3 linked regions of the Daphnia pulex genome follow. The protein of the gene in region 2 interacts with the protein of the main gene of each other region in a biochemical or structural test. Links are inferred from orthologs where the notes say so. Each region holds a gene or a part of one and is shown on either strand. Other genes may lie near its edges.

Evidence for each region. The genes of interacting proteins can lie anywhere in the genome.
Region 1: the proteins of serine/threonine-protein kinase ATR-like (region 2) and replication protein A 70 kDa DNA-binding subunit-like form a complex in vitro, tested with the Homo sapiens proteins (2 studies listed by BioGRID, with this or other methods). The link is inferred for Daphnia pulex from reciprocal best matches to the Homo sapiens genes ATR and RPA1.
Region 3: of the proteins of serine/threonine-protein kinase ATR-like (region 2) and ovarian-specific serine/threonine-protein kinase Lok-like, one has a biochemical effect on the other in vitro, tested with the Homo sapiens proteins (2 studies listed by BioGRID). The link is inferred for Daphnia pulex from reciprocal best matches to the Homo sapiens genes ATR and CHEK2.

Annotation. Positions count from the first base shown.
Region 1 is NC_060017.1:3,018,872-3,024,412, forward strand, and holds replication protein A 70 kDa DNA-binding subunit-like, read right to left. Parts: upstream 3,535-5,541; 5' UTR 3,411-3,534; coding exon 3,366-3,410; intron 3,304-3,365; coding exon 3,253-3,303; intron 3,189-3,252; coding exon 2,934-3,188; intron 2,864-2,933; coding exon 2,649-2,863; intron 2,587-2,648; coding exon 2,424-2,586; intron 2,362-2,423; coding exon 2,257-2,361; intron 2,191-2,256; coding exon 2,091-2,190; intron 2,007-2,090; coding exon 1,894-2,006; intron 1,827-1,893; coding exon 1,692-1,826; intron 1,632-1,691; coding exon 1,368-1,631; intron 1,310-1,367; coding exon 1,226-1,309; intron 1,164-1,225; coding exon 1,094-1,163; intron 1,026-1,093; coding exon 901-1,025; intron 837-900; coding exon 729-836; 3' UTR 549-728; downstream 1-548. Other genes in the region: ubiquitin-conjugating enzyme E2 L3, read left to right, coding at 122-334; ankyrin repeat and MYND domain-containing protein 2-like, read left to right, coding at 3,839-4,021, 4,085-4,250, 4,319-4,458, 4,545-5,201. UniProt on the Homo sapiens protein: As part of the heterotrimeric replication protein A complex (RPA/RP-A), binds and stabilizes single-stranded DNA intermediates that form during DNA replication or upon DNA stress.
Region 2 is NC_060021.1:4,777,932-4,781,617, forward strand, and holds the end of serine/threonine-protein kinase ATR-like, read right to left. Parts: coding exon 2,365-3,686; intron 2,303-2,364; coding exon 2,034-2,302; intron 1,971-2,033; coding exon 1,746-1,970; intron 1,670-1,745; coding exon 1,422-1,669; intron 1,359-1,421; coding exon 1,207-1,358; intron 1,129-1,206; coding exon 1,101-1,128; 3' UTR 970-1,100; downstream 1-969. UniProt on the Homo sapiens protein: Serine/threonine protein kinase which activates checkpoint signaling upon genotoxic stresses such as ionizing radiation (IR), ultraviolet light (UV), or DNA replication stalling, thereby acting as a DNA damage sensor.
Region 3 is NC_060027.1:1,226,943-1,232,375, forward strand, and holds the start of ovarian-specific serine/threonine-protein kinase Lok-like, read right to left. Parts: upstream 3,535-5,433; 5' UTR 3,533-3,534; coding exon 3,402-3,532; intron 3,336-3,401; coding exon 2,979-3,335; intron 2,921-2,978; coding exon 2,746-2,920; intron 2,684-2,745; coding exon 2,447-2,683; intron 2,369-2,446; coding exon 2,146-2,368; intron 2,067-2,145; coding exon 1,786-2,066; 3' UTR 918-1,785; intron 515-917; exon of another isoform or gene 488-514; 3' UTR 331-487; intron 264-330; 3' UTR 1-263. Other genes in the region: RNA exonuclease 1 homolog, read left to right, coding at 4,005-4,140, 4,207-5,433. UniProt on the Homo sapiens protein: Serine/threonine-protein kinase which is required for checkpoint-mediated cell cycle arrest, activation of DNA repair and apoptosis in response to the presence of DNA double-strand breaks.

The DNA of each region.
Region 1 (5,541 bases), on a different chromosome or scaffold from region 2:
TAAAAATTTCAATGTTAACCTTGTAAATATCTTATTTGTCTGGCAATTTCTGTTAGGTCTTAAAAACATTTGCCTTTTGGAATTTTTGCCATACTTATTATTGTGTGTTTATTTCTTTCAGGTCTGTTTGCCCATAATAAGTGCTGAAAACTGGAAGCCTGCCACCAAAACTGATCAAGTGATACAAGCGCTGGTTGCCTTGGTTAATGATCCAGAGCCTGAACATCCACTTAGGGCTGATCTTGCTGAAGAGTATTCCAAAGACAAAAAGAAATTCATGAAGAATGCAGAAGAGTTTACAAAAAAAAACAGTGAGAAGAGACCAAGTGATTAAATGTTTTCTGTTTTCATCATAAACACTTGAGAAGAGGCAGAGTTAAAATTTTGAACTGGTCCCCCCTCTTTCCCTCTTCACTTCATTGTAGAGCAGTGAGAGCTGCACTGTGATCTTCATTTATTTTCATTTCTATCTTTGCCTCTCTTGATGGTTGAAATATTTCATTGCACATGAGCTGCGAAAAACAATACATTTGCAGTTGTCTGAAAAATTATTTTTTGTAATATCCATGTTTATTTTGCAAATCATTTATTATCATGTTACACACACGGTTTTTCCGGGATCTCGATTTGATTCACAAGAACAGGAATTCATAAAGAATTGTTCCTGTATAATCCGAAAATGAAGGTTTTTTATAAGTTTAATAGATAAGGAGCAAGGGAAAATCCATTCATTCTGATGCAGCCATTTCTTTCATTTCTCGAATCAATCGCTCGTTGTGCTCTTTATAGTTGATTTCCTTCACTTCATAGACATTTGTTTTGAGGCGGCTTTCATCCTAAAGAAAAGGTAAAAGCGTCAACAGATAACAAGATCGAAATTCATAATGCTCATAGACTTACATTGTACGTCTCCATTTTCACTCTCAGGCGGAAGACATACCACTTAAAAGTAGCTTCTTCGAAAATTTTCTGAAATTCGTTATTATCCGAATCCTTCAATCTACCGACCTCGTCTGCGGATTTCCCTAAAATTTATAATCAAATAAATAAATATTATATGCTAAACGTAACATTAGTTCGAAAACAAAATTACCAAGAAGAGTTTCAGCGGTTTCTTGGAAGCAGGTTACCCATTGCTGGTCCGTGGCATCCGCGATATTGACCTATAACAAATTTCGAGTGCTGTTTTGAGAGAAATAGATTTCATAAAATATCTTTGTCATACCGAAAGCATCATGCGCCATTTGAATTCCTGGAATTCGCGCTGGCATTTCTCACATCGATAGAGGCCATTGTTTTGATCGATGACCTGCGGGAAACGCAAATATTGTCAAAAATGAGTTGTTTTATTATATATTTATGTTTACCTTTTTGTTGCATTCATCACTGGGACAAGCCATGTACAACGCTCTTTCTTTGTTGATCATAGCAACCATAGCCTTAACACTGTAGAAATCAGGTTTATCTTTTCCCAGGTTTTCGAATTTTGCTTCAGCGAAAGTCTTATACGACCCACCACTACCACCAGTGCCAGCGCCACGACTCGCCGAAATGCTAGAAGCGGCCGATGATGAGCCACCGTTATCGTACCACCCTCTTAGTTTGTGAGCTTCATTCATGTCAGGATTGATCTATTAAAAATATGCGCTGTAGAATAGTAGAGAAATAGAAAGTCTTACATTTGATTTTACCTGCACGACAGTAGACGAGACTGTTCCTAGAGAACGACCTCCAAAATCAGAAAGTTTCACTCCTTTTAATGCTACAACAGGCTGGGAGCTAGCGTCAAATTCCTCGCCCATTTTTCCCCATAAAGTCAAATTAACCTGATGTTTGAAGACAAGAATGATTAATTAACTGGGCTCGACAATTAAACGAAGAATCCAGTCATACCTCTGTGTTGGTACTGTCCACCATCTGAACTTCTCGCATCCTCAATTCTTTATTTGTCGTTTTGGAAACGATAACGCGGACGTCATTTGCTGACTTAACCACACCAATGACATCTGAAAGCACGGTCAATCGGTCATATCGTAGGCACCATTCAAATAGAAGAATTGTAATGTTAATGCACCTAAAAGACAACTTACCAATAACACTGTCCTTGTCCAGGCTAGGTAGCTGATCAATGGGAACAAAGTTGAAGGAGATTGATGGGATATCTGATGTATCATCGTGGCAAGGAATTACCTAAAAAATAAGTAAAAGAAAAAAAAATTGAGGCTGGTACGATTGACGATTGAAAAACATTCATACTGTAGTATTTTGGTTGAACGACATTTCATAATCGTTCCTCATACTGCTGTACTGTTTGTTTGCTGCCTTCAGTTGTGCTTGTGAAATGTAAAAGATCTTGCCGATCTACAACGAAAAATAACAATGTAAATAAATAACTTCAAACACTGTTTTTGAATTAAATGTACCTCAATCATGTGGTAAAACTTGTCACACTCGGCATTGAATGCAGTGGCACGGATTTCACCAGTCTCATCCACCATGTCCATCGAGAAAAGCTTTCCTTCACCTCGAGAATTGCTCCACGTACGGATATCGGACTTGTTTATAATTCTCACTTTTACAGTCCACCTACAAACAAGCAAAGTTAATGATTCAATTTTTCTTGTACTGAAATTTCTCAACAAACATACTTGTTTTGGTAGGGTGTAAGGCTTACAATCGGATGGGTAATAATGTCAGACTTCTCTGTTGGCTGTCCATATCCACCAGTTTTGTTAGGTGGTGCAGACTTCGATCCCATATTGTAATTGTTCACATTTCCTAAAGGTGCAGGTTTTGCTGCTGCCTCTTCAGTAACCTCTCCAACATCATTAAGAGTCTGAGGGTTTCCTATTTTTTCTCCAACCTAAACAAAAAATGTTCAAAATGAAGAGATATCCTTATTTGTATTTCGAAACTAAGTAAAGTGAACATACTTCACTTCCAGGCACAATTGGCTCAACATCCAAAAGAATGATAATTTTCTTTTGGTCCTTGCCTGCAGTTGCCTTAGTAGCAACTTTGTTAACAACAAACTTTTTTACTCTAATGATGGTAAAGTTCTCAAGCTGACCATCCACAATCAGATGATTTAGTTGTGTTGCCAACATTCCATATGCATAGGAATACTTTCCATCAGAGATGAGAATTCTGTAACGGTCATTATTGTCTCCCTGAAGATTTTTGTAACCCTATTGTAAGAGAAGAAAATGTAAAAATGCTGCAAATGAAGAAAAAATCTTGCTCGTTGCTTACCAAAACTTGTAGAATTGGAGTTTCATTGTGCAGGCCATTCCCAATGATGGACTATGTCGAAATAAAGATATTTATAGTTTTATTCAAAAATTCGAAATTATGATTGATATTACCGGAATTGCGCCGCTGGTTAGTGCTGGGTGATTTCTTCTGTTCATTTTACGGAACCTTTTTTAACGGGGATTACTTCGTTCAGTCAACGTGCTTGAATTTTTTTAAGCAGTTTTTACGGACAAGACGACGAAGTGCGATGGCGGGAAAACAACAGTGGTACAAACGAAACCAAGGCTGAACGTGCAGCGTTGAATGTTTAAGAAACTTTTTAACTCAATGAAGACCACTAAAAATATAAAGAAGAAAAATAATGAAAAAGTTTTTTTTCTGAAATAAAGGTTCATACGAAGCAAAAATAAGTTTTCGTTTTATTCGCATTTTTGGCGTTGTTGGATTTTTTGTTTTTCGAAATGTCCGGTTGTTATAGCAACAGTTGCAGACGACAACGGAAACTATATCGTTATATGAAAATTTGTGACTGAATTATTTGATTTCCTTCAAAAACGAGTTAATTGCCAAAGAATCTCGAAAAATGATTTCGGAAAACTTTATTAAAGCTATTGACAAGATTAACAACAATGATACTAGTGGTTTGCAAGAACTTATAAAATCCCGGGACGTTGAAATTGACGATGAGGATGAGCATGGAATGACATTACTGCAACATGCCGCTTTTAAAGGGAAAAAAGATATTTGCCAGTTGCTCCTTGACCTGGTAAGTCTAACTATATTATCAATGTTGTTAATTTGATTGAAAAGTTGACTTTTTTTCTCGAAGGGAGCTGATGCCAATGGAGGTCATCATGAACACAAGTATACTTCCCTTCATTTTGCAGCTCTGTCTGGAAATTTGGATATTTGTCAACAATTACTTCAGTGTGGTTGTAAACCTGATGTGGTTAACTCAGTAGGCAGAACTGCAGCTCAAATGGCTGCATTTGTAGGTAGGCTAGTCAATCATAATGTTTGTACAAATCATCCAAAACTAAAATGAATTATTTTGGCAAACCAGGGAATCACACAGTTGTTTCCATCATCAACAATTTCATTCCACGCTCAGAAATAGAGCAGTACACTGTAGCTCCTAGCGATCAAACTGAGCCAAAATTGCCACCAGCTGCTGCACCAGCTTTGCACAAATTTGTGATGCAGGTTGTGCACTTGAATAGACACATCACTTCATTTCTTATTCTGCCACGGAAAAGCACTTGAACTTTTTGTTTTGTTTGATTTATCAGGTCAATCTGCATCCAGTTCACCTTTTGTTGACTATTCAAAAACTTCCTTTGCTTTACGATAACCTCACAAAAGTGAAAAACGTCTTGGAGATACTTAGCGAAAATCAGATGAAGCGCAGCCAAGAAGTCAACGAGATCCTCGCACTTAAATACCACTATTTGCGTTTCCTAGTCGAAAGAATGGCCAAAGAGCAGCAGCAGCACCCCGACAAAACCGTTTTGGAGTTATTAAATCAATATGTTAAAGCATTTTTGAAGCAACGTCAATCCGATGGTTTTCCCGAGTTTATGGACAACTTCATCCGCGAGTCGATCCGCACTTTCCCTTTCAAGGAGACGACCATCTTCCGCCAGTTGCTGGTCAATCTGTCCAAGACAAAAGAGGAGACTCCACTAGCTCTCAATCTTCTCACTTCCTGCATCAACGGTCAGCGTGGATTTCAAGATGACGACGCCTGTGCCACTTGCGGCCAAGAGAAGGTAGCCAGCAAGTGTTCCATATGCAAATCTGTGCAATATTGCAACCGCGATTGTCAAAAGTTGCACTGGTCTATCCACAAAAAGGAGTGCGACAAGTTGGCCAAGCAATTTAAAAATTTGGAAATTAAATCTCAAGACTCCGAGGCGAAGGCTGCCGATCCGGAAACCAGCAAATAGAAATTTTGATTATGTGGGGGTTTTTGCATGATCGAATTCGATGTATGTTCACCCCGTACGTTTCCTTTTTAATCTACAATTGTCTACAGCGGACCCCTGTTTGCTTCCATATTTAGCTAACCTATTCAGTTGTCCAGTCTTTTACACTGTACGTGCGGTCCCATTGTTTTTATATCGTGAAAAATCTGCTTTGAATGGCCCCCATGTTATCGTCGCATTCATCCCACACAAATACAAACCTTGTCATGCCTCATTTCTAGTGTATTTCTTTTCTTAGACTAAAAAACCAGCCACTAGATGGACATTGTTCTCTTGTGGCCCTCCTCATCCACATATTGCT
Region 2 (3,686 bases):
ACAAATCAAAATGTATGATGTGATGTAATCAAGGGGTCCGGCAGTGCAGAGGGGAATGGTGGCAATGAGTAAAAATCAAAAATTTTTCGTGTCTGAATTAAAACTTGCTATCCCCGCCACGCGTTAAACGTCGAAATCCGGTTTTTTTCCCTGTTTTTTGACGCGCTTAGTACTTTATTTTTTTTTTAAGCTTCGTCACTTAAACAGCTTGTTAAGGACGTAAAGATTAACATTTGAGCCAAAAATTATCCCATTATGTATTGATTTACTATCCCCGCCATGCATCGAACTTTTGCTATGCGCTGTAGCTGGTAAACCAAAAAATTTGTTTTTTGGCCGAAATACGTATATAACATAAGGAACTTAACAGTAATGTTAAAATAATAGACACAATAGATGCTCACGTTTAAAATATATTAAAATTCCATTTCTGAAGGTCGCTTGCTAACATTTAGTTTTTTTGTGTTTTCCCTTTCGTTTAAGCAAACGCGATATTATTGCGATACGAAAATTAACAATAAATTTCAATATTTTTAAGATATCTTTTAAATGAGCTTTAATTGTATCTATTATTTTAACATTACTTAGCAGATGAAAGTTCCTTATGTTATCTATTTCGGCCAGAAAACCCATTTTTAGATTAACCAGCTACAGCGCATATCGAGCGCATAGCAAAAGTTTGATGCATGGCAATACATAATGGGATAATTTTTGGCTCAAATGTTAATCTTTACGTCCTTAACAAGCTGTTTAAGTGACGAAGCTGAAAAAAAAATTAAGTACTAAAAGCGTCAAAAAACAGTGAAAAAAACGGATTTCGAAGTATGCGTGTTGTGGATAGCAAATTTCAATTCAGACACGAAAAAATTTGGATTTTTACTCATTGCTACCATCCTAACCCTAATCCCAAGTTACATGCCAAATTTCAAAAAAGTTGTGGAAATGAAACAGACTATTGCAGACTAAAAATACAATTAATTTCTTTATTCTTTAGGAGGAAGAAAAAATTCGAAAATGAAAGATAAGAACGTATTTGAACTACTTCGCAAATTGAGATAGACGGCAAGTAATAATTGGCTCTCGAATATATAAAATCCATATCACATGTAGGCTGCCCATCCGATATACCTAGAAGACGCAGAAATGATGATGCGATAATTTAACAGTATGCATATAATAACATTTTAAAAACTGTGCACAGCTTACATTTGGCATAAATTGTCCACACTGGTAGCTTCCGCAATCAGCTGATTTACTTGTCCTTCAACAGAGAAACGGTATTTCAATTTATTCTTGGAATTTGGTTGTAGTAAATAACCTTGTAATCTCATTTTAATGTTCTCGACGTGTTCCATGGCCTGAAATAAGAAAATCTATTAAATATAATGCAACAGGTGATGAGAACATAAAGCATTTTAGACCTGTTCGTTTTTTATCTCAGGAAGATCAGAACGACCTTTGTTCACTGTTTTCTTTGACCATTCTACAAGTGGATCATGAACAAACGGCTTCAGCACACTAAGGAGAGTGTCAATCTCTTGTCTTAGTACACGTAGCGTCACTTCGCAGCACTTCCTGAATGACCCTTCAATTCCAGTAGCTCCCATGGCTTCTATCATATTATGAGTAAGACGGAAAGGAACTTGCTCGGGCCATTCAAATGAAAGACCTGAGTTAAAGAAGTAAAAAAAAAATAAAATAAAAATATTATGCCGAGGTGAGAGAAAATCAATCTTGAAAACAACCTTTGTTAAATAAGCAACTAAAATCCACGTGGACTGCATCGCCACAAACTGCATCAAAAAGAATGTTTTCACCGTGTCGGTCACCTAAACCAACGATAAATCCCACCATGGACATGACTGCCGTAGTTCGAACATAACTCAGCCTGGCAGAAAACCAATCTTGTGGATCTGGAAACGTACTCAGGAACCATTCGCTAAACACGGGAGGATACCGTGGCAGGATTTCTGAAAGAACGAAATAGAATTCTAAGACTCAGAGTAAGTTTAAGACAACAACAAATGACAAACCTTTCTCAAACAGTTCTCTCTTCCGAACAATTGTATCTCGAACATGAGGTGTTCTCTTTCTTAACTCAGTATTGCTCATCAGACAACCCCTTTCCTTGTAAATCCGGTTGATAGCAAATCTTAAACCAATCAGATTTGGAATCCATTCAATGAGACCACAATCTTCATTTAAAGGAATTACTCCGTAAGTCCGGATATGCAAATTGCGCTTGCGTGAATCGGGATCTCGTACCAAGTACCGATTTATTAGTTGGTTGAATTCCATTAATCTGCATTATGGTAACTTGTTAAAAAAAAATATATATACAAAATACAGAACAAACAAATTTACCTAAAATCTTTCCGTAAATCGTCCTGTGGTTTACAGAGGAAAACGTATAATTTCCCATCGGATCCACGGATGGATATTTTCTTCGGCTTTTGTAACGAGTGCATCACCTCGACAGTATCTTCCACACCAACAATGTAGACAGGATCTCTAGGAAAAGGATTGTGTTCCAGGTTTTCTCCAGGGGTTGTGGGCAATGTTACCGTCATCATCCACTGCAACGGAACCATGATTTTACTGAATTGTGGTTGACTGAGTAGTTTAGGAAGAGATCTGAATGCTTTTTCCACAGACAAAACCATGATGCCGTCCTCGACAGGTTTGTTGGCCAATTCGACGAGTCTATCAGCCAGATTGGTAGCATCTGCGAAGAAGCTCCTTAAACTGGTTTGGCTAGAAGCCACTACATCAATGATCTCTCGGCAACGCTTGGCCCTGATACTGTACGATGATTTTAACACCGAAATCATCATCCACATACATTGCTGCGTGTGAGCTACAAGTGTTTTAGCGATTATTCGCTTCAGGAGAGCAGCCACCTCTAGATGCGGATGACAAATTCGTGAAATCAACTGGGGAAATGCCGTTAAGAATTTGTAAGCAGGGATCTTCTCTTGTGCACTGTCAATAGCCTTTGTTACGTCGGTCATCTTAGCCTTGGAGTTGCCGATCTTGAAGACTTTGGGATTCTCAGCTTCCATGGTTCCTAATTCCATCCAAAGGGAAAGCATTCGTGGCATCGCCTGATAGATGAATTGGCTTCCGTATATCATTGAGCGACCCAAATTGGTGATAATGTAACGCGCCATATCAAGATGTTGTTCTTTGTTTCCGTCATAACTTGTGTAGAGAACATCGTAATAACCAGCCAACCGGAAAAAACCTTCTTCCCACGTTCTGCTTATTTCCGTCACTTCCTTGTAGTACTTGATAACGGTGTTCATGTCTGCATGGCTAGTCTCTTCATAGTAACGAGCAAGTAAAAGTTTGGCTTTCAAGCACTCAAGAATGTCGGTGGTCAATTTATTAGGTTGGAGTTTAGCAGCTTCCATCTGCAATGCCTGCAAGTCGGGGAAACGTTTTTCAATTCCTCGTTTCAGTACGGTGATGGCCTGGTCCTGTTCGCCTTTAGCCCAATGCAGCTTGGCTTGTTCCATGTAGATGGCCAAGGGTGGGCAAGGGCTTGTTATAGCAACCAGTTGCAAGATGTGTGCTCGTTGGAAATGAGCGGCCTTTCGAGCCAAACGAGCACTCACCAGCCAACTTTTCCCGATTTCGGCTTCGATTTCTTCCATCAATTGAGGTTGTTTAGCCTCCACTTGCTG
Region 3 (5,433 bases), on a different chromosome or scaffold from region 2:
CTGTTGTTGCCAAGCTTCTCTGCTGGCCCGACGACGACCCGCATCACCAACGCCTTCACATTCTTCATAATGATGGACTCTGCTGTACTGTTGTCAGCGGGAGCCGTGACAGGTCGTCCGATGTAGCGTGGATGGCGCAGCTCGGTCGCTGATAAAACTACATTGTTGTTGTAAGCATCCTCATCCATCTGCTGCTGTCTCGTGCTGTTCCGCGCTTGAGACGCCACGGTCACTACCAACACGGCCACGATGCAAACCACTAACTGTGTGTATAACAAGAATCAATCAAATAACTGCGTAATAGTCATGTTATTAATAATGAGCACTTACCACACTGAAAACGGCGACCAGATATTTGGGTTTTCGATTTGTCGTCGTTGTCGTCGTCAATTCTGTAGCTGTTGGCTTCACCGGTTTCCCGCTCACGATCGTCATGGTCTTGATGTCGGATGTGGAATGATTGGTAGGAAACATCGACTGCCGGCTTCTATAGGCGAGAAACTTGCGTTCGTATCTTTATACGACAAAACAAAGGTGCAATGAGTCAGCCAAAATAGGAAACAACAACAACACAGCGAGAGGGTCCACAGTTCACGTCGTGGGTGGAATTTCGTTCCCCATCGGAAAATTTTTAAGCTCCGGCACGACACTTCCGGGCACACTGAGTCACCAGCACGCGAGAGAGATTTCTATGTGAATCAACCCGCGACCGAATAACACGCGATGTGCACGGCAAACCAAACCGAACAAATCAAATCCTTAACTCATTTTCGGGAGTAGACATATGATTGTCTTATAAATTATTAAATGAGATAATGAAAGGATGTGAATCATTGGTTTGAATAGCTTTTTAAACAGAAAAACGATTCGCCAAAAATTATTTTAAAAGTTGCAATCAAAATTGAATTATCACTTACCGGCGTGAATTGAAATTGTCACGAATAGATTTTTTAAAAACTCCGTCACCGGGAGTGGTGTGCTTGAAAAGACTGTTGGAGGTCGAATGGATCGTGTCGTCCATCAGACGCTCTCTTTATTTCTTCCTTTGAAAGAGAAACACAAAAAGTATCAATAAGAAGAAGGAAACAAAAAACCTGTTCTTTCATGGGCGCTCCAGGACAAAGGGGAAGACCCTGGAGAGGGGTTCACATATTTCTGCAGGTATGAAGAAGAAGAAGAGATAAACGAGGCAGAGCTGGCTGGAGGATATCAGCCTCGAAGGCTTTTTAAGGGTATCGTGAGAAGAAAAACTTTCTTTTTGACAGCAGGATACTCATACATATAGCGCCCACTGGTTGCCTTCCCTTCCATCAATCTTACCTAAAACTCGCCCACCCGTTTTCTAAGCTTTCACTATTTACCAGGGGATTTCGTCACTAGTTCCGGAAAATTTCTCAGAAATACCAAAAACAGTTCACCCGATCAATAATTGTTCTACAGGGATTTCCGTCTAATCCTTTCAAACTGCTACGGTCAGACATTTTTTAAAAACAAGGTTTAGTAATACTGAGTTCTTTTTTATTCGTTTATCCTTTACCGGCAGCAAAAAAGACACAAAAATAAAAAAAAATTAACCTGACTGGATTGTTATGCATGAAAACTTTCGAAAGGCCATGTCCAACTAATTAACACGGGGGGCAAACTGAGGGGAAGGCGTTTTTAAATATACAACTGCTTAATGAAGAGATCGTATTGAGAACAAGAAGGAAAAAAAAAATAGCCAACTGTTGAGAAAATAATCGGACCACAGCCTCTCTGGAGAAAATAATAAAGAAATTTTTCTTATTAGGGAGTTACCCGCCGTCGTTTCGGCACAGGTTCATCAATAGACTCGTTTTCTTGGATGCAACTGAGTAAAGAGTCGGGGAGCTTTTCGACGGTACTTGTATCAGCAAAGACGATTTCATTCACCCTGCTGACCACTTGGCTGTCTTTCATCCATGGGTCTTCCAGGATATCCTCTAATGTAGGTCGTTTGTTGGGGTCAACTTCCAGCATTTGCTTGACCAATGCCAATCCTTCAGCCGATACTGAACTCCAATTTGGTTTTTTCAATAGAAAATGACCTGGGTCAAAAATGCCGGGATCAGTAAAAAGAAAAAAGGGCGGAAAACAAAATTCTTGATAAGAAAAGGAGAAATGAACCTTTGGCAATATTAGCATCAGTCGAGTGTGAATGAATGAATGGGTGGTACCCGGATAACAGAATGAACAGGATCACCCCTAGGCTCCAGACATCGACCGCTGACGTATATGGTTTGTAAGTCCTATCCCGGGCCACTTCCGGTGCTAGATACAGCGGTGTACCACAGTAGGTCTGGCATACGGTCTCTTCATCCACAAACTTGGAAAGACCAAAATCTGAGATCTATAATTTAAAAAAAGGGAAAGTAAAGTTGCGTCAATAATGTGCGCACGCTGCGAGAAAGCGATTGAGAAATAATACTTTGAGAATGGCGTTTTCGTTTTGACTAGACATCAGGATGTTTTCCGGCTTGAGATCCCGGTGAACTACTCCTTGCTGGTGAAGATATTTTACAGCCAATACCAACTGCATAAAATAGTATTTTGCTGTAGATTCTTCCATCTGACCCACATCTTTAATACGTTTCTGCAAGTCCCCTCCGTTCATCAATTCTAATACGAGGTGTATCGATTTGGGTTTACAAATGCTGTCTTCAACCTAATTTTTCATGCAGAGCTTTCATTACTATTACAATTAACCATGATGAGATGATGAGATACCTTAACAATGCCAGGATGTTCCAGCGTACAGAGCAATTCCGATTCGTTCTTCAGTTGTTGTATAGCCTCGTTGCGTTTCAACTCGTTAAAACCATTTGGTTGACGTCGTACGCTTTTGATGGCATATTTTTTGTTTGTCTTTTTGTGAACAGACAACCATACCTCCCCAAATGATCTGCAGAAAATAAACAGCGTAAAACAAAAGAATATTTATGCATTAAACAAATAATTACCCTTTTCCAAGATTCTCAACAATGACAAATTTCTTGTTGATGTCGGTAGGAAAGCCAGGATTCCTGTGCTGTGTGTCCAAGTAGGTAAAGACTTTGCCTTTCGAACAGGTCATGGCAATTACATCACCATTGGCAAGAAGCTTATTCTTTCCTTTCCCGATTCTAACACCATTTACGAATGTTCCATTTGCTGAGTAATCTTCTAAGATTGTCTGATAATCAGCTGTCATATCCCTAATTCTCCTGAAACCACACTGTACTCGACTAAGATTATCAATTTTGATTTTAGTAATTTCTTGATGGATGACGATATCACACGCGACATGACGACCAACAGTGTACAAATCTTTGCCATGCCTGACAATAATAAAAAAATTCCCAATTTAATTCACAAAACACTGAAACAAAAAAATAAAATCATACCTTAGCCTTTCAGTGTCCAGATCACGATCAGAGGCCCAAAATAATAATCCCCACGAGGTGGATTCAGTCGGCGCTACATTTTCCGTATCTTCGTCAGTGTTCTGCGACAAGGGTTGCGTGTCTTTGTCCATCTTTAAACAGATGATATAACCAGTTGTGAAAACCCTTGTCACACATCTAACATAAGAAACTTGGTGAAATATACGATCACCACGTTTGAAATTTTTTATTTGAACGTAGTCTGTAATATGTCCTTGAATCACTGTTCTGAGACTAAATTTTTTTTTTCACAACAAGACGTTGTCAATTTTTCAATTCAAGGCATTTTGGTCGAGACTTAACCTTGACTTTTTTAAATGGCTTAAAATTTTGATAAAAAATTATAGATCTCTTTCCCAAATTATTTATCTTAATTTAATCATCTTTTATGTCAATTCGTTAAAAAATAATCAAAAATCCGGATATTATTGTTTGACCGACCATTAGAGCCTCCCCTTTGTAGAAGGGCATTGGTTTTTCATTATTGTCATTTTTTTTCTTAATTAATCGTCTTCAATTGAAGATTGGAGATTTATCGCAAATTAATATTGACTGTGGGGAAGCATGCTTCCGTCAGTTGGATACTTCAAAAGTATCGTCTGTCCTTATTTCGAAAATGAGTCGTGTGAGAGGCCACATTGTCAATTCCGACACGAACACTTGCCTGTTCGAGCACCTAAACCAACTGTGGTCCTCAGAAGTATGCATGTTTTTGTCTATTATGCAACACAAAAGAGCAATACTAACTGCTTTTATACCTTTGCAGCTCATGATCCTGGCCCATCTCAAGGATCTCAAGAAGGAGAAAATTCTTCGTCAATCGAGCAGATAGTGTCTGAAGCTGTCAAACGGGTCCTAAAGGAAAATGGACAGCTTTTGGAGAATTTTGATGCCTCCAAAATTATGGAACTTGTTGGCCAGCAGAAGCTGGTTGAGAAGGTTGTGGAACATCTTGCCCCTCCTGTCAGTCCCAAGAAAGTTGAAGGAAATCCTAGAGAATCTAGCCATAAAAGCAAAAGTCACAAATCCTACAACATACCTGTCGGAACCCCCGCCTATACTCCTACGCCCATTGCTGTTCTCAAGAAAGGCATAACAACCCCTTCGAAAGTGGAAAATTATGAACCCACAAAACCATCTTCTGGACGGGTAGCCACTTACAAACCCAGCAGTAAGGTTGCTGCCAAATCAGAAGAGACCTATACACCATCCACTTTGGAAAGCACTTCAATCCCGTCTAGAGTAGATAATTATGTGCCTAGAAACTCATCCACTAGTTCAACTGCCACCTACAAGCCTAGCAAAGTCGTCTCAATTAAAACAGAAGAAGGTTACACCCCTCCCTCCACGTTAGAAAACACTCCCGACGTCAACTACACACCGAGTAGTAGGGATTCAGATAACATCATCAGTGATCGCTACACCCCTCCGTCCAATTTGAACTGCGACGTCGACTACCAGCCAACCACTCGAGAATTGAGCTCTGTTGAACCGTCGTATTCTCCCAGTTGTTCAACATTCGAATCTGGAATCGCCGATTACTCGCCCAGCTCTATCTCGACTCTATCCACCGAGCCGAGTTACAGTCCAGCACCGACCAGTAGCAGCGTTTCGTTCGAAGTTGACTACACGCCCAGCTCTTTGGCCAGCGGCCAGCAGCTGACACCTGAAAAATACCTCGAACTTTTCGAAGATGCGGAAGAGGCCAGCGAGTCCGAGTCGAAGAAGAAACACCGAAAGACCAAAGAGGAGGAAAGGCGGAAAAGGGAAAAGGAGAAAGAGCGTGAAAGAGAAAAGGAACGACGCCGGCGGAAAGAGAAGGAAAGAGAAAGGGAAAAGGAAAAGAAGAAAAGTAGTCGTTCAAGTTCAGATCAAGATTCCAAATCAAAACATTCAAGCAATAAAAAATCGGGTAGTTCCAGTTCCAGTCCCAAGAAGAGCAAATCTTCAGAATCTAAAAAATCCGAGTCTAAATCTGAAGAATCTAAGTCAT